Linked DNA regions of Callithrix jacchus. The protein of the gene in region 4 interacts with the protein of the main gene of each other region in a biochemical or structural test. Links are inferred from orthologs where the notes say so. Each region holds a gene or a part of one and is shown on either strand. Other genes may lie near its edges.

Evidence for each region.
Region 1: the proteins of GTF2B (region 4) and GTF2F1 form a complex in vitro, tested with the Homo sapiens proteins (3 studies listed by BioGRID and IntAct). The link is inferred for Callithrix jacchus from reciprocal best matches to the Homo sapiens genes GTF2B and GTF2F1.
Region 2: the proteins of GTF2B (region 4) and NR2F1 form a complex in vitro, tested with the Homo sapiens proteins (2 studies listed by BioGRID and IntAct). The link is inferred for Callithrix jacchus from reciprocal best matches to the Homo sapiens genes GTF2B and NR2F1.
Region 3: the proteins of GTF2B (region 4) and GTF2E1 form a complex in vitro, tested with the Homo sapiens proteins (2 studies listed by BioGRID). The link is inferred for Callithrix jacchus from reciprocal best matches to the Homo sapiens genes GTF2B and GTF2E1.
Region 5: the proteins of GTF2B (region 4) and GTF2F2 form a complex in vitro, tested with the Homo sapiens proteins (2 studies listed by BioGRID and IntAct). The link is inferred for Callithrix jacchus from reciprocal best matches to the Homo sapiens genes GTF2B and GTF2F2.

What each region holds. Positions count from the first base shown.
Region 1 is NC_133523.1:6,030,544-6,036,479, reverse strand, and holds the start of GTF2F1 (general transcription factor IIF subunit 1), read left to right. Parts: upstream 1-2,477; 5' UTR 2,478-2,631; coding exon 2,632-2,643; intron 2,644-2,727; coding exon 2,728-2,774; intron 2,775-3,584; coding exon 3,585-3,657; intron 3,658-5,936. UniProt on the Homo sapiens protein: TFIIF is a general transcription initiation factor that binds to RNA polymerase II and helps to recruit it to the initiation complex in collaboration with TFIIB. It promotes transcription elongation.
Region 2 is NC_133503.1:117,071,734-117,077,711, forward strand, and holds the start of NR2F1 (COUP transcription factor 1), read right to left. Parts: upstream 3,549-5,978; 5' UTR 3,081-3,548; coding exon 2,618-3,080; intron 2,393-2,617; exon of another isoform or gene 2,286-2,392; intron 971-2,285; exon of another isoform or gene 875-970; coding exon of another isoform or gene 862-874; intron 187-861; coding exon 1-186. UniProt on the Homo sapiens protein: Coup (chicken ovalbumin upstream promoter) transcription factor binds to the ovalbumin promoter and, in conjunction with another protein (S300-II) stimulates initiation of transcription. Binds to both direct repeats and palindromes of the 5'-AGGTCA-3' motif.
Region 3 is NC_133516.1:82,239,475-82,245,306, forward strand, and holds the start of GTF2E1 (general transcription factor IIE subunit 1), read right to left. Parts: upstream 3,916-5,832; 5' UTR 3,865-3,915; intron 1,690-3,864; 5' UTR 1,589-1,689; intron 1-1,588. Other genes in the region: RABL3 (rab-like protein 3), read left to right, coding at 4,152-4,197.
Region 4 is NC_133508.1:126,116,206-126,122,358, reverse strand, and holds the start of GTF2B (transcription initiation factor IIB), read left to right. Parts: upstream 1-2,107; 5' UTR 2,108-2,175; coding exon 2,176-2,192; exon of another isoform or gene 2,193-3,975; coding exon of another isoform or gene 3,976-3,989; intron 3,990-6,153. UniProt on the Homo sapiens protein: General transcription factor that plays a role in transcription initiation by RNA polymerase II (Pol II). Involved in the pre-initiation complex (PIC) formation and Pol II recruitment at promoter DNA.
Region 5 is NC_133506.1:164,481,628-164,486,996, forward strand, and holds the end of GTF2F2 (general transcription factor IIF subunit 2), read left to right. Parts: intron 1-3,923; coding exon 3,924-4,043; 3' UTR 4,044-4,447; downstream 4,448-5,369. UniProt on the Homo sapiens protein: TFIIF is a general transcription initiation factor that binds to RNA polymerase II and helps to recruit it to the initiation complex in collaboration with TFIIB.

The DNA.
Region 1 (5,936 bases), on a different chromosome or scaffold from region 4:
ACGAGGTCAAGAGATGGAGACCATCCTGGACAACATGGTGAAACCCCGTCTCTACTAAAAATACAAAAAATTAGCTGGGTACGGTGGCACGTGCCTGTCATCCCAGCTACTCAGGAGGCTGAGGCAGGAGAATTGCCTGAACCCAGGAGGCAGAGGTTGCAGTGAGCCGAGATCCCGCCATTTCACTCCAGCCTGGGTAACAAGAGAGAAACTCCGTCTCAAAAAAAAAAGATACAGACACAGAGATAGAGAAAAGAGAGTTTGGGCCCAGGGGTCCACTGCCAACCAAACATGGAGTCTGGCAGTGGCCCTGAGTGTCCAAACACTCTGACTTTTATTAAGTACAAAGCTGGTGTCAGGGTAGTTAGGGCGTGGCATTGGTGGTCAGTGATAGGGTCAAGTACATCACGTGTCCTATAGATAGGGGCCGAAGGCTTTCCAGTAGCGTAATGCATCAGCACTTTTCCATACTTGTCAAGAAAGAACAAAGACATTAAGATTTATACTCTTTTATTGATCGTATCTTCTAAGAAAAAAGGAACAGGTGCAGAAGCGGAACATGAGAGTGGACATGGAATGTGACCACTGAAGCACAGCGTCACATAGAGACAATTAAGCCCCGGATGTCTGTGGGCCTCCCTGACAGCCGTCAGGCCCACCACAAGAGCTTGGAGGAGCCGAGTTTTCTCCTGACTCCCCAGAGGAAGGAGACATCTTGACCATCTTGAACGTCTCCTTTCCTGGCTGGCTAAACAGCAGGCGCTTTCCCAGCGCCCTCCACCCACCCTTACATGGGCCTGACAGACAGAAAAGCATTAGTAAAAGAACTAAGATCACCTATGAATAACTAAGATCACCTATGAATAACAACTATTGTTATATTCCTTTTTTTTTTTTTTGAGACAGAGTTTCGCTCTTGTTACCCAGGCTGGAGTGCAATGGCGCGATCTTGGCTCACCGCAACCTCCGCCTCCTGGGTTCAGGCAATTCTGCCTCAGCCTCCCGAGTAGCTGGGATTACAGGCACGCGCCACCATGCCCAGCTAATTTTTTGTATTTTTAGTAGAGACGGGGTTTCACCCTGTTGACCAGGATGGTCTCGATCTCTTGACCTCGTGATCCACCCGCCTCGGCCTCCCAAAGTGCTGGGATTACAGGCGTGAGCCACGCGCCCGGCCGGGAATATAAATTAATGACATTTCTGAGGCTTCTGACTCCCCAGAACTTATGGGGTCTACCCCCTACACTAACCCACTACAGGAATTAAAAAGTTTACACCCCAGACTACTTCTGCCTCTCTCACTCCTACATTCCGAGGAGTTGGCAGTTCTTGACATTTAGTGGATGAGGAATAAATGAAACCAGACATGTCTTGTTCCCCTTCCCTCTGCGTAGCCTACAACTCCTATGCATCCCTCAGTGGCCAACTGAAACCTCCCGTCTTCTCTGAGCCCTCAGAGCCCCGCTGTGCTTCTCCTGCTCCTTCCTGGGTTGTAGATTCCCATTTTATGAGTCTCCGCCACGACACTGTAACCCGCAGAGGACAGAGAGCTGGTTTGATATATTCACCTGGCGGAGCCCGGAACCCAGCAGCGTGCTTGAGTATTTCCGAACTAGAGCAATGAATGGTTGTGCTGTGAGCATGCGCAATTGTGTTACTGCCAGGCTTGAGGGGTGTGTGCACGCCTGGAATGGGGTAGGGGAACTTGCACCTCCCTCCCGTCCTCTGCAGCCTCCTTCCCTTCCCCCCAGTAAGCCAGCCAGCCACCCCCACGACGTTACTCTTCTCCGGGGGCCTCAGAGCCCTGCCCATTTGGGGCAGCTTGGACTTGCAGAGACCCATCCCGCCAGCAGCCCTTGGGGTGGTCGCGCCCCGATTCCGGGCAGGCTCTGACCCCTCCTGGCTCGGCTCAACGTCACAAGGGTCCCCGCTCCGGTCATTTTGCGGGAATGACGGGGTCCACCCCTTCTGGGCAGGTAGAGGAAACGAACCCCAAACAGGCCCATAGGGAGCCAAGCGGCAGTTCGACTGGACCCGAGTAGGCCTCAGTTGCTATGGTGACGCGGCCTTCCAAGCCCCAAAGTCCCGAGCGGCATGACGCATGCGCAAAGCGCCTGGGAGCCCGCAAGGAGGACTAGCTTCCTTCTTCCCACCCAGGATGCCCTGCGGTCCTTGGGTGCTGACGTCACGAAGGAGGGCGGTCCCACATTTGATGACCGCACTGTACATAGGAGCATCAGCGACCAAGGCCGGTTATTTGATCTCAGACTCGGCCTTGTTGCGTCTGAAAAGGGGCAGGGGTGGCTCTTTTGAGGTGGCCATAGACGCCGAGGAACATAAGTGACGGCGCATTGAGGTAGCCACAGCCGCTTAGAAGGTTGCCATCGCGACGCGGCCGCTGGAGGGTTTAGCTTCCGGGTTAGGCGGCCGCGGAGGCGTAGACGGAATAACCTGAACGCCTCTTCCGGTTACCCTTTCCCAGTGCCAGAGGCGCCTAGGGTAGGAATCCTCACACGGGGACCGGAACAGAGACCCGACAAGGAACGGCGGCTTCCCCGAGATCGAGGGACGCGCTAGCCAGAGGAGAAGAAAGGAACCCGGGTCGGACCACGGAACCACTGACCATTGCCCATGGCGGCCCTAGTGAGTGTGGATTTGGCGGGGTTCGGGGGTCCCGGCGGCGACCTCGGCGGCACCTTACTCACCGTCCGCTTCCTCTTTCCGCAGGGCCCCAGCAGCCAGAATGTCACTGAATACGTCGTTCGAGTTCCGAAGTAAATCCCCTACCCCATCTCCCACTCCTCTCCACCCCGCAAAAGTGAAAACCTTTACGGTCCTCTTAGCCTGACGTTTCTGGCCCTGTCTGTGGTTCTCCCTCCAGACCGGGGGACTTGGAGGGCAGGGCTGCGATTAAGCTGAGGCTTCTCTGGAGGCAAACACTGCTTTTTGTATGAATGAGTGCATTAATACACAGCACGATTCAGCCTCCTGGCCTAACGTTCGAGAGCATATGATGCCCAGGCTGTCTCGTCCTCTTTCAAAGCGAGCAGGCTGCCTTTCCTTTCCAGGCCTTTGTACATCCCGTTCCCTCTGCCATGAGTGCCTCCCCTCAGCCCCCAAACGGTGACTCTGTTGGGTGAATTCTTGTTGATTCTGCAAAACTCAGCTCCAGTATCATCTTCCTCCAGGAAGCACTCCCTGACTGACCTCCCTCCTCCCCAAGGCTGAGTTCCCAATAATCTCCACATCTTGGGTTTCTCCCAATCTTTGTTCCTCCATTTGTTCTTCGTCTGCACGCAGTTAAGAGGGGATGGGGTCTAGCTTCTCTGGCAGACTGGGATTCCTGCAGTCTTCCGTATCCAGTGTTGACAGGCAAAACAGACTGAATGAACCAGGGTGGGTTTGTTGAGTGACTGAATTAATGATTCAGTGGAATGGAATGCTTGAATTAATGGTTCAGTTGAATGGAACGATCGAATTAATGATTTGATTGAATTAATGATGTGTTCACATTGATTGATTAAATTAATGATTGAATTGAATTGATGTATTGGATTGGCTCTATCTCTTCTAATCCACTCTAGGAATACAACCAAAAAATATAACATCATGGCTTTTAATGCAGCTGATAAAGTCAACTTTGCCACGTGGAATCAGGTAAGTCCCTGGGTCCTGGGGGTCGGGGGCTGGGGTGGTGAGAGAACCTGACCCTGACCTTGGTGGTTGTAATAGTTGCTTAGCTGTCATAGTAACTAAGTCTTAATTTTCTCACTTTTCCCAAGTGGAGATAAGGTAGATGACAAAGAGTTGGGTGCAGTAGTTTGTACCTGTAATCTTAGCACTTGGGAGGCCAAGGCAGGAGGCTTGCCTAAGGCCAGGAGTTCAAGACCAGCCTGGGCAATATAGCAAGACCCTATCTCTACCAAAAATAAAATAATTAGCTGGATGTGGTAGTGTGCATCTGTAGTCCTGCACAGGAGGCTGAGGTAGGAGGATCACTTGACCCCAGGAGTTGAAGGCTGCAGTGAGCTATGATTACACTACTGCACTCCAGCCTGGTGACAGAGTAAGACCTGTCTCAAAAAAAAAAAAAAAAAAAAAAAAAGATGGCAAAGGCCCAGGCCAAGCTCCTGGGTGTCCCTGTAAGTTACGTTTAGTAGGACCACAGGAGGCCATTCCTTAATGGAGAACATTTAGAAGTTGTGCCCACTGATGGCCATTTTTGCCAAGGTTTATCTGGCTGAGGGAGGGGACTGGGCTAGGGCCTTCCCCAGAGCCCCTGCCATCAGAGGCTCTAGAAAGGACTGTGGGAGCCATTAAAGCATCCTCCACGGGGAAGTTGTATTGTGATCTGGCTGCTGTGGGGAGGCAAACTGTGGGTTTGAGGGCGGATAAAGGGAGAACAGGGTGGAAGCAACTGGGCTGACTGGTCTAGGTGAGTCCTGGCCTGGGGATGTGGAGGCCGTGAAGGTGATGAGATGTGGCTGGATTCTAGAGTGTTTTGGAAATGGTACATATGGACCTTGAAGCAAGAGCTTAAGGGTAATTGGGACCTTATTGGCCACATAGGTCATGATTAATGGTTACATTTTAGAGATTTTGGTGTCTTACTGTCAACAAGTTTGGCACAATGAATTTCTTTTTATTTATTTAAATTTATTTTTTTGTGATGGTGTTTCACTTTTGTTGCCCAGGATGGAGTGCAATGGCACGACCTCAGCTCACTGCAACCTTCAACTCCCAGGTTCAAGCCATTCTCTTGCCTTAGTCTCTCATGTAGCTGGGATTACAGGTGCCCACCCCCACTCCCACCTAATTTTTGTATTTTTGGTAGAGATGGGGTTACACCATGTTGGTCAGACTGGTCTCGAACTCCTGACCTCAGGTGATCCACCCACCTTGGCCTCTGAAAGTGCTGGGATTACAGGTGTGAGCCACTGTGCCTGACCTTTTTATTTTCTTTCTTTCTTTTTTTCTTTTTTTTTTTGAGACGGAGTTTTGCTCTTGTTACCCAGGCTGGAGTGCAGCGCGATCTCGGCTCACCGCAACCTCCGCCTCCTGGGTTCAGGCAATTCTCCTGCCTCAGCCTCATGAGTAGCTGGGATTACAGGCACGTGCCACCGTGCCCAGCTAATTTTTTGCATTTTTAGTAGAGACGGGGTTTCACCATGTTGACCAGGATGGTCTCAATCTCTTGACCTCGTGATCCACCCGCCTCGGCCTCCCAAAGTGCTGGGATTACAGGCTTGAGCCACCGCGCCCGGTCGCTTTATTTTCTTTCTTTATTTTTTTGAGATGGAGTCTTGCTCTGTTGCCCAGGCTAGAGTGAAGTGGTGTGATCTGTGCTCACTGCAACCTCTGCCTCCTGGGTTCAAGCAATTCTCCTGCCTCAGCCTCCTGAGTAGCTGGGATTACAAATGTGTGCCACCACACCCAGCTAATTTTTGTATTTTTAGTAGAGACAAGGTTTCACCATGTTGGTTAGGCTGGTCTTGAACTCCTGACCTCATTATCTGTCTGCCTCAGCCTAATAGAGGTAGGGTCTCACTATATTGCCCAGGCTGGTCTTTTTTTAAATGTTTTTTAAAGACAGAGTGTCACTCTGTCACCCATGCTGGTGTACACTGGCATGATCTCAGCTCACTGCAACTTTTGCCTCCCTGCGGTTCAAGCCATTCTGGTGCCAGGCTAGTCTTAAACTCCTGAGCTCAGGTGAGCCTGGGCCTCCCAAAGTGCTGGGATTATAGGCGTGAGCCACAGCACAACGAGTTTTGATAGGCATGCGTTCTGGAGATGTGTAGAAATTCTAGTTACACGATTTTTGAAAAGGAGCCTGGAACCAGATGCCTGCTGTAGATATTAGGGAAGTCTGATCACTTCTAAATTCCTCAGGTCTGGAATTTGGCCTCTGATGGCCTGCTTGAGCACCAGGTGGT
Region 2 (5,978 bases), on a different chromosome or scaffold from region 4:
CGATGCCCATAATGTTGTTGGGCTGCATGCACTGGCTGCCGTAGCGCGACGTGGGGTAGGGCTCGGCGCGCAGCAGCAGCGAGATGTAGCCGGACAGGTAGCAGTGGCCGTTGAGGGGGTCCCCGTTGGTGAGTGCGTACTGGCCTGGATTGGGCTGGGTTGGAGGCATTCTTCCTCGCTGAACCGCTGACAAAAAGAAAGAGAGAAAAGAGGCAATGTGCATCCAGGGGGCTTGCGAACATTGCCGCGCCGCAGCGTACCCAACACAATGCAGAAGCTCTTCCCGCAGCCACACGCGCCCTGCGCATCTTCTCTGGCTCGCTCTCACAGTCCACACCGCGAGGAGATCTGGGGTGAGGCCCTCCAGCTCCGTAGCTCGATGTGTCCATCGCCTGAGCCCCTGGCCACCTCAGCCCCGCCGGAACTAGGCCTGACTCCAGGGTCCCCACCCTGGCAAGGCCAAGAAAGTGCCACCCAACCCCTAAGCCACCAAGGAGGAACACTAAGATAAATGAAACCTCAGTCACCCCTTCAGAATTAAAAAAAAAAAAAAAATCAGGGATTAAATAAAAGGCGAAACCGGAGGAAGGTTGTGGTTCTAGGCAAATGCCTAGAGGCCTCCTCATTTGCAAGCAAGGAGCGTTTTGCTGATAAAATGTTTCCATATTCTCTTAAAATGCTATAGAATGATTCTTAAAATAGACACAAGTTGCATATCCTACTAACCACTTACAACTTTTGAGTAGAGAACAAGTATCCTGCACCCCTCCCTTCTCCCCTCCTCCCCGTCGCCTCATACAAAGTTCTCACTATTAAAAGCAACAGAAAATTGAAAATTTTCAAGAAAAAAATTGAACTTACAGTAGCCAAACATTATTGAAAAAAGTGGGAAATATAATTAATGTCTGTCCTGTGCGGTGCCACTGCAACCTGCAGCCAGCTTTTGCCCAGTGAATGCACGAGCTTTCAACTGCAAAAACACTGGATTCATTAACCATCTGAATGCAAAACGTAAGCATGCTTTGAGTTCTTAAAGCTGACCAAAGTTTTTTTTTTTTTTTTTTAATGTGTATGTTTTACTTCAACAGTGCCAGCGTTTTAAATTGCCATGTAAACAAAGACAACTTTAGGAAAAGTTAGGGCTACTGAACTCTCCCCCCAACAAATTAATACAGCTATGTTCATGTACATGTAGCTGTCTTATTTCAGGTTTTGCCCTATTTTCTTAAGTTTGCTTTGATTCTAATTTTAATACAAGTTCCAGTGCAACTTAAGCTCTTGAAACATAATGGCTAGAATACTTTTTTCTAATTATAGTTTTGAACTTGGCAGTTATTTTTCAATTAAGTGAGAGTACAATTTAAAGTTTTTTTTTTTTTTTTTTCCAGATGCCTGCAAAATCTCCCTGGAGCTAGAAATGAAGTAGTCATATTTGCCTGCTCCTTCAGATCTGAAGGAATTCAATTTCTTTTCTTCTGGCATATAAAATATAATTTTAAAGTCAATTACAAGAAAGAGTAATCTGCATTCTGCAAAATTGACTGGTTCTCTAATTTGACTATAAGACATCTTTAATGATTGTCAAGAGATAAACTTTAACTGTAAACGGCAAAATATATTTATAAGAAAAGTACTGCATCTCTTGCCACATGAACATGAAGCAGATCCAAATACAACATCAAAAGTTGTGTTTTTTTTTTAAAAAAAAACACAAACCCATACAACACAGGGATTAAATGATGTGGAAGCTCATGCCAGCTGCAGTCTATGCATTATGGCCAAATCAGAAGGATCGGTAAATGCCGTTGTAAATTGTAATTTGTATGCAGTATTTAAGGAGAGGGTGGAGTTTGATGAAGAAATAAAACGAGTATCATGCTTTAAAAAAAATGACAGAACTATGAAAGCACGGTTCAGTCACAAACTTTCCTTTCAAAGTAGAGGGGTGAAAACAAGGCCACAGCTCTGGAGGAGGCGGCCCCAGCTCCGTGAAGAAGAGAGGGAACCAGTGAACGGGCCAGAAGCCCCCCTTCCCCCCTAATTAGACCTACAAGTGCAATAAATCTCACTCCTCTTTTTCCAAGCTAAGCTTCCAAAAGGATGATGGCAGCAATGAATCTATGGTTCAGGGTACTCCAGCCCCCAGCCCTCCCCCATTTTAAATAAAGGGTATGAAGAGGTGGAGGGAAAAGTGGAATGAAAAAACACAGAAACAGAGTTTTCTGGAGGAAATAAGCACCCCTCCCCAAGTTCATGCCAGCACAGCCCCAAGCAGCCTCACGCACACGCGGGAGACACACATCGAGCACATCCAAGACAGAGGGAAGAAGGGGATTTTAAGCCACAGCTCACGATCCCAGGGACACAATCCTGAGCAGGCAGCGGGCGGGGTGGGGGAGCCGGGGAGAGGAGCGCAGGCCGGGAGGGGGAGGCAGCGGCAGAGAGCTGGGGAGGGGGGGAGACGCCGGGGGAGGAAGGCAGCGGGGAGAAGGGAAGCTGGGACCGGCCGGGACCACACGAGCCCCAGCCCCACACAGCAACCACCCGGGCGAGAAAGAAAGAGCGAGCCAGGGAGGAGAGCGAAGCGCGGGGAGAGAAGCAGAGAAGAAATATTCACCTTCCCGCCTCATGCCCACTTTGAGGCACTTCTTGAGGCGGCAGTATTGGCACTGGTTGCGGTGATGCTGGTCGATGGGACAGTTCCTGTTGGCACGGCATGTGTAAGTTAAGTTCCTGCGGACGCTCCTCTTGAAGAAACTTTTGCAGCCCTCGCAGGTGAATTGGCCGTAGTGCTTGCCGCTCGACTTGTCCCCGCACACCACGCACTCGATGTGCTGCTGGCTCTGGCCCGAACCGGGCGGGCCCTGGCCCTTGTCCCCCGCCGTGCCGGGGGTGGCGGGCGCTCCGGGCTGGCCCGGGGTCTGCGGCGTGTGCGGCGCGCCCGAGCCCGCCTGCTGCTGCTGCTCGCCGGCGCCGCCGCCGCCGCCGCGGGCCGCCTGCGCTGCGGGGTTGGGGCCGCCGGGGTTGCCCCCGGCCACGTCGTCCTGCGGATCTCGCCAGCTGCTAACTACCATTGCCATATCTTTGGGCCCGGGGAGCGCTGGGGGGAGCCGAGCTGCTCGCCGAGGGCCGCGGGGCGCGCGGGCGCGCTGGGAGGGGAAAGGGAAGGGGAAGGGGGGAGGGGGAGGGGGCGGGGGGCCCGCCGGGCGCCCCGGGGTCGCAGGAGCCGAGCCCGAGCCGGGCACCGGCCGCTGCCTCCGCCGCCGCCGCCGCTGCCGCCGCTACTGCCTCGGCCGCCCCGCTGCTGCTGCGCGCCCGCCCGCCCTGCTGGCGTTTTGTTGTGGTTCCTGCTGTTTTCTTTCTCTCTTTTTGCAGCCCCCCCAGGCTCTCAGGCTCCCCCCCCAACACCCCTGCTCCCCTCGCCCGCTCCCCCCGCGCTCCGTTCCTGGGGGGGCCGCGCTCTCCTTCCCCCCCTCCCCACCCCCCGGCGAGCAAGCTCCCTTCTCTCGCTTTTTTCTTCTTCCCCAAGTTGCAAAATCAGAAATGGCACAGGCGGCAGCCGGGAGCGGCGCGGGGCGCAGCGCCGGGGGCGGCGGGCATGGGCCACGGCGCGCGCACACACTCGCCCTCCGCCTCGCCCGCACCCCCGCGCACACACACACTCGCACACACACTCGCTCACCCGCGCCGGGCGCCCGCCCGCCCGCCGGCCGCTCGGGCTACGCGCAGCGCGCGGGCTGAGCCGACATAGAGGAAGCCGGCGAGGGCGGAGGCGGCGGCGGCGGAGGAGGAGGCGGAGGTCGCGGCTGCAGGCGCCGCTGGAGCTGCCGCCGGAGCTGCTGCGGCGAGCGCCGCTGGAGGAGCCGGGGCCCGGGCCGGAGTCCGAGCAGGAGTCGGGGCCGCAGCCGGAGCGCGAGCGGAGGCCGGGGCCGCCCGCGCCGCCGCCGCTGTCCCGGCGGGAGCCCTCGCCGGGCTCAGGAGTGTGGGGAGCGCGGTGAGCCAAGCAGGGCGCTGGGCGAGGCTGCCGGCGGCGATCAGGGCGCGCGGGTGTCGGGGGGCCAGGTCCAGGGCCGGACGCAGCCAGCCATTCAGGAAGGCAGCGCTGGAGAGCGGGAGGCAACCGGCGAGGAAGATCACACACTTTGCTCTTTTTGTTGTACCGGTGGCGCCGGGCTCTCGCTGCCTTCTTCTTTCGGGAGGTGACGGAAGGGGGAGAAAAATACGGGATAATTCACGCCGGCGACGAATTCACAGCGAAATAGAAAAAATAAAAATCAGAAGAAAATAATTGCCAAAAAAAAAAAAAAAAAAAAAGGAAAAAGGAAAAGCGAGAGAGACATCCAAAGTAGGTCGAATAAATAATCCTCTTCTTTTCCTCTTTCTTGCTCCTTCTTCGGCTTCTTCTGCTATAACACACAGAGCTAGTTAAAAAAACCCTGGAGATCGCCCAAAAATGTTCTTTTTTTAGTATTTTAAATAAGTGCTCTTCAGCCGGGAACCAACACCCTCCCTCCAAAAAAAATCATATATGTATAAAATAACGATAAGAAGAATACGAAGGGGGTGCCTCCTCCTCCTCCTCCTTTTTTTTCTTTAAGTTTAGCCCTCTCTCTTCTGCAGGAATGGAGTAAAAGACACAAGGAGGAGGGAGAAAAAGAAAAGAAAGAAGGAGAAGAAGGGGAAAACAACTAGTAAAATATGTAAGAAAAGAGGAAGGAGAGAGAGAAGAGAGGTTCAGAGAAGACAGGAGACAGAGAGAAGAGAGGAGGGAAAGAGAGGGGGGAGAAAGAGAGGAGAGAGGAGAGGGGGGAGAGAGAGAGAGAGAGAGAGAGAGAGAGAGAGAGAGAGAGAGAGAGAGAGAGAGAGAGGAGAGACCCAAAAATTGAATGCGTTTAAACGGGTGGACTCGCAGAGCAATGTTTCCGAAAGGGGGATCTGCGCGAATGTCTGTATATAGTGAACTTTGACACTACTATTGAAACTGACACGTTTCTATGGAGATCGCTGCCTTATATGGAGCTCGTGTCAAGGAGCCAAGAGAAGGGCTGCTGGCAACTGATAATCAAAGGCGACTGACTGGTCAGAGCCCTGAATCGGGGGGGAGAGAAAATGGGAGGCTAAGGTTAGCCAAGCCTCCCGCACGCCATTGGTTGGAGAGCCCCTCCCCCCTCCTCTTTTGCTTTCTTTCTTTTTCCCCCCCCTTCCCTCTTAGCTACCTACAGACTGGGATGGTGTGGGGAGGAGGAGAGAAAGTGAGAGAGGGGGGTGTGTTTCTGACAAGCGCAATTTACATTGAGATCGTCCTGCGCTGCTATTTACTCTGAGACCTGATTAGTATGGGTCGTCTATGGTCACACACACACACACACACACGCACGCACACACCCCAGAGGGGGAAGGGATGACTAGGGGGAGAACGCCTAGCGATGGGTAAAAGAATTAGAAGGAAATTATTTTGATTTCTTTTGAAAAGTTTTAAAAATTAGATTTTATGAGCGTGGAGAGAGTATCATTGAAAATGTTTGGAAAAAATTTTTAATGGGGATGAAACCCCCACCATTTTAATGATTCGTGAAATATGCTGGATTTGGATTGTTTTCTTCTCTCACATATAAGCACAATCCAAGTCTGGATTCTGCTCATTTTCTATCCTTTTAAGAAACAGGTAGGATCTCCCTATATTTTGATCCAAAGTATATCTTGGTTTAAAAGGTTTAATGACGACAAAGCACACTCCTGGAATTTGCAGTTATTGGCACAAATTCGATCGGAGTCAAGGGTTCCTATTTATCCCAAAGATGATTTTAAAAATAAACTTTCCAATCAATCCAATTTTTCCTTCTTCTTCTTCTTTTTTTAAAAAAATCACCTGACTGTTCAAAACTACAAACAACGCTTCAATAATCATTAATAAAACAGTAGTAAGTCTTCGTATTGCTGCGGGAGGGGGACGATTAGTGTGGCCAAGTCAGTCCCGG
Region 3 (5,832 bases), on a different chromosome or scaffold from region 4:
CCATGACTGACTAATTTTTGTATTTTTTGTAGAGAGAGGGTTTCACTGTTTTGCCCAGGCTGGTCTTGAACTTCTGGGCTCAAGGGATCCACCCATCTTGGGGGCTTCCTAAAGTGCTGGGATTACAGGTGTGAGCCACCACAGCCAGCCCACAGGATAATTATTTTTTTTTTTGAGATAGGGTCTCGCTCTCTTACCTAGGCTGGAGTGCAGTGGCGCAAGCTTGGCTCACTGCAACCTCTGCCTCATGGGTTCAAGTGATCCTCCTGCCACAGCCTCCCGAGTAGCTGGGACTACAGGCATGCAACACCACACCCACATAATTTTGGAATTTTTAGTAAAGACAGGGTTTCACCATCTTGGCCAGGCTCCACAGGATAATTTTTAACAGAGACATCCCATTCAACTATTTCAATGGGGAATCATATTCTGTTGTTAATACTAGTTTCAACTGACCTTTTTATTTGAAATCAGTGGTTATCAACCCTAACAGATTTAATATCCTTTTTATAAGAAATATTTTGATATCCACAGTACCACACTACAAGGAAACTCTACACACCAATCTATAATCAATCTATGCACATATTTTGGGAGGAAAATATAAGGCCCATCTTGCAACATAGGAAAATTAAAAGAAAATATGTACTTTTGGTTATGAATACTCAGGTACGACTATATTCAATAAGATACAGCAAAGTAGCACCTAGATACAAATCTGTGAACCTAGAGCACTTCCTGTTACCCCAGGGCTTAAGGATGCCTGGCAAGTGCCTGGGCTCAACACCAAAGTAGTACCACAGCATACTACTGGACACACTTTTTCTCCTTTTCAGTTTGATCTATACATTGTACTTGAACCCAGTTTTGTTTTTTATTGTTTTACATCTTCAACAGTTGTCAGAACACAACATATGGCTTCAGAAACATTCAACGAAGAATGGCAGAAAAATGTCAACATAACCTGTTTACAGGATTATTTCCTACTATTGTATTCTCCTTACCCGCCCATACATGCCATGCCGCAGATTAAATTCTCAAGCCTGGTTGTAAGGCACAATCATCTAGGGAACATTTTAAGAATACTGACACTGGGCCCTATTCCCAAAGATTTTGTCTCAGGTGACCTGGAGGGGCCAGATTAGGCATCACACAATTTCTTAAAGCTCTTTAGGTGACTCTGCTATGTGAAAGTGCCTACTATATATCCTGCCAATGCCCATCCTGCATGGAGAGGGCCCTGTACCAGTTAATGCTGAGCCTGTTTCCTTTGCCTAAAACACCCTAGGAAGCCATGAGGACTAAAGGGAGTGAGTCAAGGATTCTACAATCCAACAGTTTTGGAGTTTAAATCCCAGTTCCAGCATTTCTTAGCCCCCCCTGACCCCAGAAAATTCTCAGACTCAGTTTCTTCATATATAAAAAGTAAGCAGGTCAGGTGCAGTGGCTAATGCCTGTAACTGCACACCTTGGGAGGCCAAGGTGGGAGGACTGTTTGAGCCCAGAAGTTCAAGACCAGTCCAGGCAACAGAGTAAGACCCCATGTCTCCAAAAATTTAAAAACTTAGACGGGTATGATGCCATGTACCTGTAGTACCAGTTGAGGTAGATCAACTGAGCCAGGAGGTCAAGGCTGCATTGACCCATAATTTTGCCACTGCACTCCAGCCTAGGTGACAGGGCATGACCCTAAAAAAAAAAAAGAGTGATTAACGGTGCCCTGTTCATACAGTTAATGTGTGAACTCAGTGAGATAATTAATGCAAAGTGTTCTACCATCAGGGCTGGCATAAGAGTTCAATGAAGTATTGGTATTTGTAATAAATCCCCTATTTAGAAAAGTGACTCTTATAGCAGCATGAGGAATGGACTCAAGTGAGTGAAGGTGGAGGCACTGTGGAAGTATTGGGGGTATAGTAAGAAAACCTAAACTAAGGAAGAAGGCAAAAAATTGCAAGAAGAGAACAGAATGAATGAGTTATTACAGAAAAAAAGTCAAAAGGACCCAACAAAATATACTGCATACAGAGTATGAGAGTAGGAAAAATCTTAAATAGCTCTGTTTTGAGCCAGCATACCTAGGAAGGGAAAAGTACTGACATGAGTAATAGGTGACACCTGACGAGGAGCAGATTTGGAAGAAATAAGGAAATCACTTTTAGAAGTGTCTCTGAGGAAATACCATAGGATATTCCTCTGAATATTCCCAGCAGGTAGCAGAACAAATGAAAACTAGAGCTCAGGAATGAAATGAAGCTGTGCCGCCTTGTTCAAAATCTCCGCATTCTGAAATCCTCCTTCCTGACCACTGCTTTCTCTCCTCCACCACCTCCCACTCACGCTGAATCTCCTTACTCAATCTCTAGATGTCTTAGGTAAGAGTTCTCAAACTGGCAGCCCCCCACGCATTGTTTCACCCAAAGAACGTTTCAAAAATTTTCTGAATTAGTTGTCAACATTAAAATATTTTAAGAGCTCACATACATTTCAACTTCCAGCTCCTCTTGAAAAATTGAAAATATCTGAGGAAAAATAAAACCCATGTTCCGACATGAAAACAATAAGCTGAAGCCGAATAGCAGCTGGCATTATTAGGGAAGGAGTTTGGCTGGTCTCTGGAGACTTGTGAGTATGGGACCACCCAGGACCTTTGTTTCTTCCTTTGATCTTCACAGTCCATGAGTCATCTCCCAGCCTCACGTCCCTACCCCAGTCCAGACCCTCGTGTATTTTAATCATATAAACATTTAAGGACTACTGTGCATCAACCAGGCACGGAGCTACAGAAACAAAGTTGAAAAGAATGCACCCTCTGCCCTCTGTCTACCCTGTCAGCCTCATATCCAGCCACACTAGCATATTCTCAATTCCATAAGCCACATGTGCTTTCCCTACTTCCCAGGCCTTTGCACATGCTGTTCCTTCTGCCCCTACAGCTAAGCCCAAACTCCCTTCTCTTAATCATCCTTCAAGTCTCAAAAAACATTTCCTCATAGAGGCAGGTCTTCCCAGACTCCCCATAGTAGCATACAAGTATCCCCTTTCACATGTTCCATGGCTCTTTCCCCTTCTTGTACTTTCTCCGTCTCTATACCTAAGACCAGACTTTATCTTGTTCAGCAATTAATTTCCAGCCTCTAGCATAGCCAGACAAGCCCTTCCATAAAACTTTCCATATGTCTCCTAGGCACGTGTTGTTCCAACATGGCTCATTTTGCCAGCTTCCCCGCACTTCATTTCCTCCACACTCTTGCTTCCACAGCAGAATCAGACAGGCTATTTATTGGACACTCTCTTCTTAGATTTAAAATAGTTTTAAGCGGGAGGTGAGTGGATCAAATTCCCGATGTTAAAAGGCTGCGCTGACTGCATAGTGGAGAACAAAACGAGAAAAGAGTGGATGCGGAGAGTATAGTTAGGTTACTTCAGTATACCACTACTCCAGTTCTAGAACAACTTTGATTCTACACATCTAACTGCGGTTTTCTGTTACTATATTTCATGGCACTTTGCACGCCTTCACACACATAGCGGCAGACTACCGCGAAACCTTAGGATCCAACTGCCCTACATGAGACGCGTTCGGTGATGTGCACGCCTCCCCAGTGCGAGACTGCGAGACCCCAAGACCCCAAACTCCCTCAGACTCTCCCAGTTGGGTCCAGGGCCACACTCGAGGCAGCCAAGCCCGGCCTAACCGAGGTCGCACACGGGCCGCTCCGGGTCAACGGTTCTTTAGAGGACCAAGGCAAGAGGGTAACTCATTAGGGGAGGATAATTAAGAGGGTGCGAAAGGAAGGAGAAATCATAAAATGCAATGCCCGGCCAGGGAACTCCGAACAAGGAACAGGGAACAAGGTTTACCAAAGCGAATCCTCGAACACTCCCACTACAGCCGCCCTCAGAGCTTCAACTACCGGCTTAAATGAGCCACGCCCTTGTGCGACAAAGAAAACGCATCTTTTCTGCGACTAGCTTTGGAAAACACCCCGATACCTTTTACCACACCAGCCAATCAGCTCAGTGAAGCCTTCGATCAGGCGAGTCACGCTACTAGCGGCCAATGAAATTGAAGGCTCTGTCCTCCATGCCCAACTCTGATTGGCTTATAATCCCGGAACAGGCGTTAACCCAGAGAAGGCAGTGGCAAGATGGCCTCCCTGGATCGAGTGAAGGTACTGGTGTTGGGAGACTCAGGTGAGAGGCTAAACTCATGTCTGGGACTCCAGACACTTTTGACTTATCCAATAACCCTCCCCTTAACTTTCTTCCCTCAATTTCCTGGCTCTTCGGCACGGGTCTGAAGTCCCTCCCAAGGCCTGAAGACTACACTTCCCAGAGGACTTTGCTCCGTGTGACGACGAGGCAGCGGCGGCGCGCGGGAGGGGGTCGCGGAGCTTGGGCCTTCTGCCTTCGCGGCTTTCCACATCGGTTTCCCAGGCGACACCAACCTAGCGTGTATTTTCAATTTAAAAAAAAAAAAAAAAGGCAGGCATTGTGTATTGCATCCGGTTCTGTGTTAAGGCTACAGAAGTTAGTAGAACAAAAAGTTAGAGATTTTGTTCATTAAGGAAGTCAAACGTTCATTGAGAAACGTGCACTGGCAAGCGCTTGGCATACGCTAACTCATTTAATTCTGAGGTCAGTCCTATTACCCATTTTACAGGTGAGAGTAGTGAGGCAGAGAGATGTAAATGACAGAATCCTTTTGAACACAGAGTCTACATACTTAGACGCTAAACTATAATTATGCAATGAAATACTGGGTAATGGTCCTGTTTTATTGTTAACTGAGCTTTTTATTTCCTTGTTTGGTCTTCATTGAAAACCTATTACTAGAGAAAGTAAAGAGTTTTATTCTGAAGCAGCAAGGATTTAATGCTGAGCCCAGTTTAATCCTAGCGTTAAAATTCTTTTTTCTTTTTATTTTTTTCTTTTATTTATTTTTTTTAATGAGTCCAAAAGTAACCGTTTACTGGTTACTAAAGGACTCTCTTTTTTATTTTTTAATCTCAATGGATGCAACCTGAGGTCGGGAGTTCAAGACCAGCCTGACCAACATGGTAAAACCCCCTCTTAAAAACATAAATGAAAGAAAGAAGGAAGGAAGGAAGGAAGGGAGGAAGGGAGGGAGGGAGGGAGGGAGGGAGGGAGGGAATTCTTTTGACACCTGGGACATTTGAGAACTACAGCTGACGCTGACATCTGCATTTCCAGCTCCCACCTCACTGCCCTTATCTTTTCCTCCATAATTCAAATAATTCAACTCCTTAAGAACTTCAATAAAATGCTAACTTTGCATTTTATGGATGTGCGGTTCTAGAGTTGGCCTAAGAGCGTGTGTTGTGAGCAAAGACATTGTGCTAGATGCTTGGAGGTGGAGAGGCCTAAAAACTACTCTTACAGAAACTAAATAAAATTGTGGCAGGCAAAGATATATTAAGGATGTTTTCACATTGCCCTGAATATTATTTACATTATGAAATATTTTACAGAGAGAATTATTTAATATTCCCCTAAGAAAGTTGCCTTTGAAACTCTATGAACATAACCACAATTTATGTCAACTTCATTTCTTTGTCAGGTAGCTTGAAGTGGTGCCAAAGTTAATTTAATAAAATCACTCAGTTTTACAGATAAAAAAAGTAATGGTGGCCTAAAGGGACTTGGCAAGAGTATTACCAAGTAGAATTTAAGACTGGAATTGAGAACTAACAGACTTCTTCATGATGTGTGAAGTGGGTGTTTTCTGTCCTCTATAATTCCATTTTCTGTTGTATCTAACAATCCCTTCATATTACAAACTGCTGCAACTAGTCAATTTATTTTCTT
Region 4 (6,153 bases):
CCAGTAGCGCTGCCTCCCTTTTCTTGGGTTTCAGTCTCTCACTTCAACAAACATTACTGAATACCCACCATGCATCCACTAGGTGCAGGTTCCATAGTTTGGGTCATCGAGAGATGCGCAGTTGTTTTATTCCTCCTCTTCTACCAGGCTAAGATGCTTTAGCATGAAACCAATACTGGATTGAGGTGCAGCACTCCCAAGCCCTTTCCTGGTTGCAACTTGACACAGGTGAAAGGGGTTGGCATTTTTCAAACTTTCCTAAATATGGAGGTAGGAAAAAAAACCCACAAGAGTATAGTCAAGTTTTTTAAATTACAGAATTACAAAATAGAAGACTGGGTTGGGGAAAGAAAAAAGAAATCATGCTCCCCGGTTCCCACCTACATTTCAGTTCCTAAAATCCTGCCTCTAGCAACCCTTTTCCTTTCTAAGGAAGCTAGTATCTCCTCCTTCTCAAGAAAACAATGAGTGCTCGATGACATTTAAATCTTATCCCCAGATGAAGGAAGCAGTCACTATCTTCTAAGTTCTCTTCCCCATGAAAACCACCAAGCACTCTCTCTCTCTCTACCAATCCCCGTATTTTCAAGAATACTTTTCAGCAAAGTGTTGAGGCAGAATAGGTCTGGAGGCAGAGACAAAGGCTGATTCACACTGATTTCCTAGAACTAAATCAAAAGGAAAACCCTAACTTTCAACACCTGAGTAACGAAAGAACCAGCGGCTACTTCCTTTGCAACTCCCCCCACCACACGCACACTTTTTTCTATGTGGCAGACGGAAAATTGAAAGAGACTCTTCAGGTGGAGGAGGAGTTAATTTAACCAGTAGTGCTGCCTCCGTTTTCTAGGGTTTCAATTTCTCCCTTCTGCAACCAGAGATACTTTCAATTTTCTGTCTGCCACAACTCCTGGGCTCAAGCAGTTTGCATAGGAGTGTAACTTTGTGATTTCACTTTAGCCTCTCATTGGTTGCTTTCCACAACCAATCAGACTGATTGTGGCACCACTACTTCATTTAAACTATACCAAGTAACTTAATGGGAAACCGCTAGAGGGTATTTAAACCCCAGAAACATTCTAATGGGACTCTTGAGCCTGTATACTCTGTTCGCTCCCACCCTGTGGAGTGTATTTTCGTTTTCAATAAATTTCTGCCTTTATTGCTTCATTCTTTCCCTGCTTTGTGCGTTTTGTCTAGTTCTTTGTTCATAAACGCCAAGAACCTGGACACCCTCCACCACTAACCGTGTTATTGTTGTTAGTAGCAGTATTATTACTTTTTTGACATTAGTTTGGCTAATTAATCTAGGGATATTTTACAGTATCTAGATGTTCTGCCAAGTTTACTATACGTAGCTATCAGCAAAATTTGCAAAGGCAATGAAAAAACAAAATGATCAGAATAGCCCATAGCTTCATGCCTGTCGTACACACATTGCTCTCACATAGTTTTGTTTCATCTCCCAATTCTAAAAGGGTATGCAAGGCAAGATACTATAACCCAGATAAACCTAAGTAACCTATGTAAAGGACGTGCCTAAGAAGACAGCATGCTTGCTGATGACAGAGCCTGAACAGACACCTGTTCTGGATGACCTAAGTGAATTCTTTTTTTATTCCAAATTCCTTAGAAAGAATCACCCTTGGGGCACGTAGGAACTGGCTCTAGAGCTCCAATAGCCAGCTAAAACGGCGCCTAAAAAAAAAAAAAGAGAGAGAGAGAGAGAGAACTGGCTCAAATGGGAGCGCATGACGCGGGGTGGGTGGTAGCGGTGAGAAAGTGGGAGAGGAACGGGTGGTTAGACTTTTAGGGATGCAGGCTTTGGCATCACTATGAAGCCAGGGTTTTCTTCTGACAGGGTTTTAACTCTGTCAGATTGAGAGTAGCTCTGTTGTAGCCCCTTTGCAGGGTTCCCATGAGACTTTTCTTACCTTGACTCTCTTAGCAACATAGCAAACTACAGAAACAGAATAAGAACGTAAGAAATCGTGAAGCACGTGATGTATAGGACTCTGACTGTTCTTGGCCCTTCTCCCGACCCGTAGCCCCGCCCTGTTACGACTGCGTGGGTTGTCTATAAAGATTCATCTCTGCGCGTCTTTCCGCCACATTCGCTTCCTGTTTTCGGTGGTTCTGTTTTGGCTTGTTCCGGGCACCGCAGTGGCAGTGAAGATGGCGTCTACCAGCCGGTTAGTGTGTTTGTCCGAGCCCGGCGAACTAAGGGGCGGTGCCTCGGGCTTTTAGGCGGTCTCCGGGCAGCCTCATCGGGCTGAGCGCCTAAGGATATGGGAGAGAAGCGGCGGGACTGGCGGACCGGCCGGGACAAAGGCACTTCCAGACAGCAGGACTGTCGGGGTGTCGCAGGGGTTACCCAGCTATCGACGTTATTGCCCCGGCGTCCTGTGTCTTCTGTAGGCACCACCCTTTGTGGGTCCTGGTGGGCTTCTGTGTCCCCAGCCCTTGCCCTCGTGTCTTTTCCGAGTATTTCGATCTGCTTTTCTCTTTTTCTCCCCCTACGCTTGTTTTTTCATCTACGACCCAAACAATCAGGGGTCCACAATTTTCTCCTTTTCAAAGGGACGGGAAACAGTTCTAGACCCTTATCGGTCTGACAGCTAGGAAGTTGGGAACGTCAGCATTGGTAAGCCGGATGGAACCAGGTTACCATCGCAGCAGGCCTGGGAAGTGGAAGCTAGAGCCATCGAGAGTTGATTAGTTGCTTGCTAAAGGGTTTGTTTACAAATGTCGTTGCCTGTGTACTTCTGAAGAAAATCTTGTCTAAGAAAATTAGTTATACGTACTGGGAGGTCGTTCTGTAGTATATAGTTAAGAATGCAATGTACTCATATCTACAGGAAATGCATGTAGTATCTTCAGAAACAGCCTTTAATCTTGTGACCTGAAAAATGCTTTCAGACCCTAATTATATTTCTTATTACCACTATGAGGTAGATATTAGTATTTTTGCATAAGTGTAAACTGAGTCATGCCAATGTTGGCTTTTCCAAGGGTAGTGTTAGAGTGTAGAGTCTAAGATACCTGTTTCCTGTTATCCACACTTGGCCTCTGATTAACTAATGTTGTATTGAAAGTATCAAATGAGTTCTACAGCTTCCGGAACTCTGGCACTGTTTTTCTGACCCTGCCGTCGTCTGTGGAATTGGTTAATTTCATAGTGAAAGCCATTTTCACAGAATAATTAAACCTTTTCTGGTAACTGCCAATATTTTTTTTGTGTGTGGTTAGAAAAAAAGAGTTTGGGGTGGGAGGCAGCTTTAGCTAATGTACTGTTCGGATAGAGAACCCTTAAAGCCAGTGACACACTTTGCTGATTTTGATTCTTTGATTGGATACTCATTCTATCTGGGTGGTGTTCTGTCAGGTAAGGCCTCCTTGTAGGTAAATGGAAAACTTTAGCTTCCCCAAATCACTCAAATACGACTTAAGTTCTATCGTGGCTTTTTTTTTTAAGTCTGAAATTTTTTCTAGATATCTGCAATTTGTGTCATTGCAGTTCCAGTTTTTCTACCAGTGACAACAAAGTGTTAAATGTATTTTTCTTTTCATTTTTTGGAGGAGTCTCTTGCTCTTTCGCCTGGACTGAAATGCAAGTGGTACAATCATGGCTCACTGGAGCGGTGACCGCCCCAGTTCAAGTGATCCTCCCACCTCAACCTCCTGAGTAGCTGGGACTATAGGCGCACACCACCGTGCCTGGCTCATCTTTTTATTTTAAAATTTTATTAATTTTTATTTTTGTAGAGACAAGGCCTCATTAGGCTGCCCAGGCTGGTCTCGAACTCCTGGGCTCAAGCAGTCCTCTGGCCTTGGGCTACCAAAGTGCTGCAATAACAGGCATGAGACACCGTGCCTAGCCTAAATGTTGTATTTCTGCCTTTTGCATGTTTTTCCCTCGGGAAGATCTACTGACTAGACTATGAAACTGGCTGGTGTCCTCACCAAAGAGTACAAATGTGCATTCAAATGTAAGCTCCACCACTTACTATGACTTCGGCAAATCATTCTCTGAGCAAAATCTTTAAAATGGAAAATAGTGCCTTTCTTGCAGGATTGTTATGGAGATTGACAGTAATGTATAACACCCGTCATATAGTGCATCCCCAATAAATGATAGCTATAAATGGAGTTGGGGATTATCTGGTACTTTAGTAGTCTTATTTTAATGTCAGTGGTGGTGGTTTCTCTATTCCTTCCCTATTCTCTGTTACTATGTCCACCACCTGATTTGTATGGTTCCTCTTTTGTATTGTGGGTAATTGGATTAAAAGTTTACTAATTTAGCATACTTTTATTTTGATAGGTAAAACATACAAATCGTCCAAAAGCAAAAGCACGAAAGACTAAAATCATGAAAAGTAGTCTCCCTCGTTTCTTGGCTCCCAGCCATCTAAGTCTCCCCTGATCATAGTTACTAGTTTCTTGGTGTTTTCCTAGTACTTAAGCTTTAAAAAACAAACACAAATAGTTCTAACTGCTCTTCTCCCGAAAAGTGTCCTAATTTAAACTCTCTTCACTACCTTGCTTTTACCTTTTTTTTTTTTTTTTTTTTAATGATGTTAGGGCACAGATTTTAAAAGTGGGCAGCTCAGTTACAAAGTGAGCACATATATAAAGCTAGTACTCGGGTAAGGAAATCAGATACTGCTAGCACTAGCTAAGACACTAGCAAAGTCTCTCTCCTCAGTCATTCCTCCTCCTTAGAGAAAACCACATCCTGATTTCTAACACCATAAATTTGTTTTGGCTGCTTTAAAGTTGGCATAAATGGCATTTTATTCTGCTCTCTAGTACCTGTCAGCATGTTGAGGTTCATCCATGTTATTGTGTATAGCTAATTCACACTTTTTCAGTTTTGTATAGGTTTTCTACTTTACTGTTCTTATCTTTGAGATGATTCTATATTGTTAACACAAACTACAGAGTTTTCTCTCTACTTTTTAATAGTGCAGAGATAATTCTATCAGTTCTTAGGTACTGTGTTTCACATGGCTTCCTCTTTTACTAATTTGTAATTACTGTTAACTCTGCTAACATTTTCCTTTATTTCAACATAGTTTTTCATAATTTATATCAACTTTAATTTTATTTGTCACAATTTATTAAAATACCTTCCTAACAGGAATTTATGGAATAAGCACAAACACGAAGTAATACTCACCTCGTTTTCCCATGAGAAGATTCAAGACCTATTCTGGTTAAGCTGACTAGAAAAGTTTGGGGAAGAATATGGATCATTTTATCAGTTTTCCCATAGATATCACATTCTAAGTTGAGAGTTAACATTCTGAATTGTATTTGCTAGCATAAGAAACTTTAGCCCAAACCACAAATACTATTTACATACTATAAGAACAGTTGATTTTGTCTTTTAGATTTATCTGATGTCCATCCATAACTTAACCATTTATTGTATTATTTCAAATGATTTTTTTTTTTTTTTTTTGAAACAGAGTTTCGCTTGTTGCCCAGGCTGGAGTGCAATGGTGCAACCTCAGCTCACCACAATCTCTGCCTCCTGGGTTCAAGCAGTTCTCCTGCCTCAGCCTCCTGAGTAGCTGGGATTACAGGTGTGCACCACCACGCCCAGCTAATTTTTTTATTTTTAGTAGATACAGGGTTTCACCATGTTGACCAGGATGGTCTTGATCTCTTGACCTTGTGATCTGCCCACCTCAGCCTCCCAAAGTGCTGGGATTACAGGCATGAGCCACTGTGCCTGGCCTCTTCAAATGATTTTTAAAGGGCCTCATTTGCAGTGATACCAAGCATTTATGATTGTGAGGTCATATCCCCTGAAATAATGATCAAATGTTTGTTGCTTTTACAACTGATTCTGTCAGATCATTTAAGATGAATGTGTCTTCTGCAAACTGCTTTGTTCAAAATGAGATAAATTGAGCTAATTATTAATATCACAGATAAATTAACAAGTACCTTTTGAAACAATTTCTTGAATGACAAAATACTCAATTCTGGACTAAAGGAAATCATCAAGTCTTAAGTTCACCAGAGCAACATCTATCATCCTTCATTTATATACTCATTGTATGTTCAATGTACTATTTAAATCTGTTACTAAGGCCGTTAACAAGTAGAAAAATACAGAGAGAAGTTGTACTCTGACTAGAG
Region 5 (5,369 bases), on a different chromosome or scaffold from region 4:
AGTAAATATTTGAATGAATATAGATACAGGAATTTCAAAAAGAGAAATAAGATTACCAAATAATTTTCAATCCTGGTAGAACCTTTAAAACCTCTGCTTCAATTGGCTTTGTCACCAGCAACATTTTAGCACTAAAATGCAGATTTTAATAGTAAATGCCGTTCAGATTCAGGTTGTAACAGTTAAGTCAGTAAACTTTCGTTTCTCAAACTAGGTCACTGCTTGAGTTTTAAAAATAAACTGGAATTGAGTGGTCTGTTTTTATGGACCTTCTTAGTGGTATTCTCCACCACCCCGCATCCTCTTAGCTGCCTTGTTAGTCGTAAGCACACCCTGTTCACTCCGCATGAGTACGCTGAGTCTCTGTGACGTGCACACAGGCACTGCAACAGGAGCATGTGGGTTAGATGAAGAGCAAGGCATGTAAATAACGGATTATAATATAGTAAGAGCTACCATGGAAGAATGTGCAGTGTGAAATGTGAATCCGAGGTAAGGCTGTTAGAGAAAGTCACGTTTGAGCCTAGTCTTAAAGCATGAGGAAAGGAGATAAACATTACAAGGAAGGGAAATAGCATATGGAAAAACCCAGAAGCAGGTACGGAAATGGGAAGTGTGTGTAAGGGGGAGTGCTGGAAGATGAGGCCCAGGGAAGAAGGCCGACCTGAGTGGATGCCTGCGAAGGCGTTTGGAATTCAATGTGCAGGCCAAAGGGGGAAGTCACTGAAACATTTTAGACAGAGGAAGGACATGCTGTCTCTGTTTGCTGTCCATGTCTTCTTCCCTTTAGAGATTTTTTTTCTTGTTTTTCCCTATCATCACTACTGCTTTCTCTGCTAATGCTTTGTACCTGCTTCCCTGCCAAGATAATTTATTTATTTGATTACAGTAAAATGGTCTTGGCCGGGTGTGGTGGCTCAGGCCGATAATCCCAGCACTTTGGGAGGCTAGATGGGTGGATTGCCTAAGGTCGGTAGTTTGAGACCAGCCTGGCCAACATGGTAAAACCTCGTCTCTACTAAAAATACAAAAATTAGCCAGGTGTGGTGGCACATGCCTGTAATCCTAGGTACTGGGGAGGCTGAGGCAGGAGAATCCCTGGAACCCAGGAGGCAGAGGTTGCAATGAGCTGAGATCGCACCACTGCACTCCCCCCTGGGCAATAACAGCAAAACGCTGTCTCAAAAAAAAGAAAAAGGTCTTAGATTGCAGTTTAGAACATCCTACAAATCAGGAAGTTTGTGTGTCCCCTACCCCCTAGTCACAGTAGATTGTGACCGTGATTGCATTTTGTTGCTTGAAAAATTGACAGACCAGGATTATCTCATTCCATTTTTACTGTTACACGGAAAAAAGAATGACACCTTCTTGTATAAAAATAATTCCTTATATTCTACCAGTTTACCAGAATGAGCGTGAACATGAGAGCAACTGAATTTGTACTCTTAATACGTTCTCAGTATTCTGTGTTTAACCCTTTTTAGGCTTTTCATTTTCTGGGCCTAGATTATAAATGGGCCCTCGAGACTTGAAGTCAGGAGAGGTCTTCTCTGTGGGGCTACCACAGTGCTCCTGGAGGTGGCTTTTCGCTTTTGACCCTGTGCATCCACAGTGTGTGGCTGGTTGTGCGGCACCGTCTTAGCCAGTCTCACAATAAAACATTCTTTGGAATTTTACAAAGATGTCCTTCTTGGCACCTAAACAGAGAATCATTTGTCTCCAACCGATCATTTTCCATTTGTAAACCCTGCTCAATTAGAAAATCGTTTATGAATAGTGTCCTGTTTTTTAAATGTAATTTGAAAAACTGCTGTTGCCGGTGGCAGACTTGCATTTTATATTACCTGGATGTTTCAAGCCTTTATGCTTACTCATTCACACGGGTCTGCTAGTGAAGCCAACCGCAGGTGTGGGAGGCAGGCAAGCCTCAGGGGAACCCAGGGCTCCTTTGGTCCATTGCTGCCACCTGCTGGGGCCGGCTGATGGAATGGGAAGGCTGCCCAACAGCGAGCTAAGCCATCCTGAATGAACCTCAACCTCTGTGTAGTTCCAGTACTAGCCAGCTTTTGTGTTTCTAGGTGACAGTCTACCCCTGACTTCCAGTACTTTCTAGGTGACAGTCTACCCCTGACTTCCAGTACTTTCTAGGTGACAGTCTACCCCTGACTTCCAGTACTTTCTAGGTGACAGTCTACCCCTGACCAAAAGGACACTGTGAACTCTAGAGCGTTATGTCAGTCACTGTAAAGTGGTGTCACATTATGTTGGTGACACCTCATCTCCAGCAGTGATGAGGCCCTGAGAATGAAAACACACTAAGGACTCAAAGATCCTAGAGTTTCAGAGCTGGAAGAACCGTAAACCAGATGCAGTATGTAGTCACATGAGTCACCTAGGCACTTGTTAAAATGCAGGTTCCTGGGCCTAGCCCCAAAGACTTTGATTCGGTAGACCCAACATGTGTCTTATTTAACTGGCTTCCCACAAGGTTCTGATACAGGTCGTCTAGCATCACTGCAGAAGAGAAGAAAACTCCTGAGATATCCAGGCAAGAGCTTCTCAGCCGTTGTTCTTATTAATGCCTCGTTTCAATCAATAAGAAAAGTTATCTTTCATCAATGGGATGAGTCATCACCATACTGCAGCTGGTTCTTTGAAGCAGACGCACACAAAATAATTAACTTTCCTTCCTTCTCTAAGAAGGAAATCTGTACTTTGTATTGGGCAGCTTATTGTGGAATGCTTTTTGGCCTTGAGCATTGGCAAGCAAAGGTGGAGTTTCATATTACACTTAACATAGCCATTATTTCCATGACTGCATTAATCATTTAGTAAATGTTTGTTGAATTTTTAGGGACCTAAAACACCATCATACAGATTCTTTTCTTTGTAGAAGTAAAACACAAAGCTGCATCCCCGATAGTTTTTGAAGATGTCTTACTATCCCTTCTTTGTTGTCGTTGTTGAAATAGAGTTTGGTTCTTGTTGCCCAGGCTGGAGTGCAGTCTGGCTGACTGCACCCTCTGCATCCTGGATTCAAGCGATTCTCCTGCCTCAGCCTCCCTAGTAGTGGAGACAGGGTTTCACCATGTTGGCCAGGCTGGTCTCAAACTCCTGACCTCAGGTGATCCGCCCACCTCGGCCTCCCAAAGTGCTGGGATCACAGGCATGAGCCACCGTGCCCAACCTGATTATCACTTCTTGTTCCCTTCTCTGTGTGGCAAGCTTGGCTAAAGTACAAATAGCAGTAAATACAAATGACAAAAAATAAGTGGCCTAATAACAAATTTGAGAACTCACCTTAGAACTGAGGTTTCTGAATACCTGTCGTATGCCTGCTTGATAGAATATTCTCAGAAATGTTAGTCATTTTTTATGTATGCTGTTGCTCCCTGAAACTGCTGGTTTCAATCTGACTGTAAACTGAGTCCTTGAGGCTGCTGAGCTCAACGGCAGATTACACTTGGTGTACTGTGTCACACTGAGTGAGGACCAGTAATATTTTCATGTGTTTCAGCTAATGTTTTTTGTGTTTGTTTTAGCTTTTAAGTCATTGGCATTCAGGACTTTTATCCCCTTTAATGCAAATGATTATATAGTTAGTGCAGTGATCATATCACACATGTGGAATCAAAAGGCAGTTTACTTATAGATCAATCTTGCTGAGCTTTTAGGAGCATTTTTTTTTTTGAGATAGAGTCTCGCTCTGTCTCCAGGCACCAGGCTGCAGTGCAGTGGCGCGATCTCGGCTCACTGCAACCTCCGCCTCCCAGATTCAAGCAGTTCTCCTGCCTCAGCCTCCCGAGTAGCTGGGAGCATAGTTTTTATGACTTGCATACGTGCTTTGGCATAGCATCTTATTTTAAGTTTTGTTTGCTGCCTTTATAATCTCATTTATTAGGGTTTTTTTGTTTCTGCTTTAGGTGTACCTGAAGGAAATCTTAAAAGAAATTGGAGTTCAGAATGTAAAAGGGATCCACAAAAACACGTGGGAGCTGAAGCCAGAGTACAGACACTATCAAGGAGAAGAAAAGAGTGACTGAGGTGCCTCCCGGCCTGCATGCCAGTGAGACCACTAGCAGTATGCTGAGCAAAAGGCGCTTGAACACCGTATGTTAACAGGGGTGAAGCGACGACCCTACTTTCATTTCTCTCAGTAAATTTTTTAAACCTGTAATTCTTGTAAAGTTTCTTAACTGGTTTCTTTTATTTTGTTTTGTTTTGAGAAGAAAGAACAAATTTATTTATAGACTTCACTTGTATTAAACCAGATTATTCACAATGGGAATAGGGGTTAGAGGATTAAGAGGGTTTTTCTTAAGTATTAGCTTTTAAACATGTACAGTTAGGAAATGTTTTTTAAATGAGGGCTCTCTAACCTTCCTGTTATCTTTGAGGAGCTGAGGTAATGCAGATCCAAGGAGGATTGTATAGCAAAAAAGAAAAAGGCAGTCAGCTGTAGAAACTCATAGAAGGAATAAAAAGCCAAAGTTCCTTACTTAAAAATTGTCAAAGAACGACGCGGTGTTTTTCTTGTAAACAGGTGGTCGTGTTTCGTGTTCGTACTCAGTGTTAATAAAAGGAGAGCATGTAAGCTTGTAGTGAAATGGCAGTTTTCATGATTAGCCTGTTTTACCGTAGTGATACTGAAATGAGAAATATGCAGAATCGTGGTCAGTTGATGTTTCTTTTATTTGCTTTTAAGAAAATTAGAAATTAGGCTGGCTCATGCCTGTAATCCCAGCACTTTGGGAGGCCGAGGAGGGCAGATCACCTGAGGTCAGGAGTTTGAGACCAGCCTGGCTAGCATGGTGAAACCCCATCCCTGCTAAAAATACAAAAACCAGCCAAGTATAGTGGTGGGCTCCTGTAATCCCAGTTACTCAGGAGGCTGAGGCAGTAGGATCACTTGAATCTGGGAGGCAGAGGTTGCAGTGAGCCAAGATTACGCCATTGCACTCCAGCCGGGGTGACAGAGTGAGAGTCCATTTCAAAAAAAAAAAAAGAAAATTAGAAATTAAATATCTTTCCATAGTTTCAAGATATGTCTACCCCAGTCAGATTATAAGCTTCTCAAAACTGGTTTGCCCCCAGAATTTCACTACTCACCCAGCAGACATGTATTGACCATCACATGGCAAATGATATCAGCAGATAAGAGGGGCACAGGGGTATAGCTGAGACAGAAAAGGCTGGTTCCAATTCCTGGGTCATTTAATTGTTTCTTTTTTCTTTAATTAATTTTTAAATGAAAACAATACGTGTATATGTTAGAAGTTTTTTCTAGCACAACACATTATGTATTAGGCAATCCAAACTCATACCATCAAGACCACTAGACAAAAAAAGAAGCTTTAGTAAACTAAGCA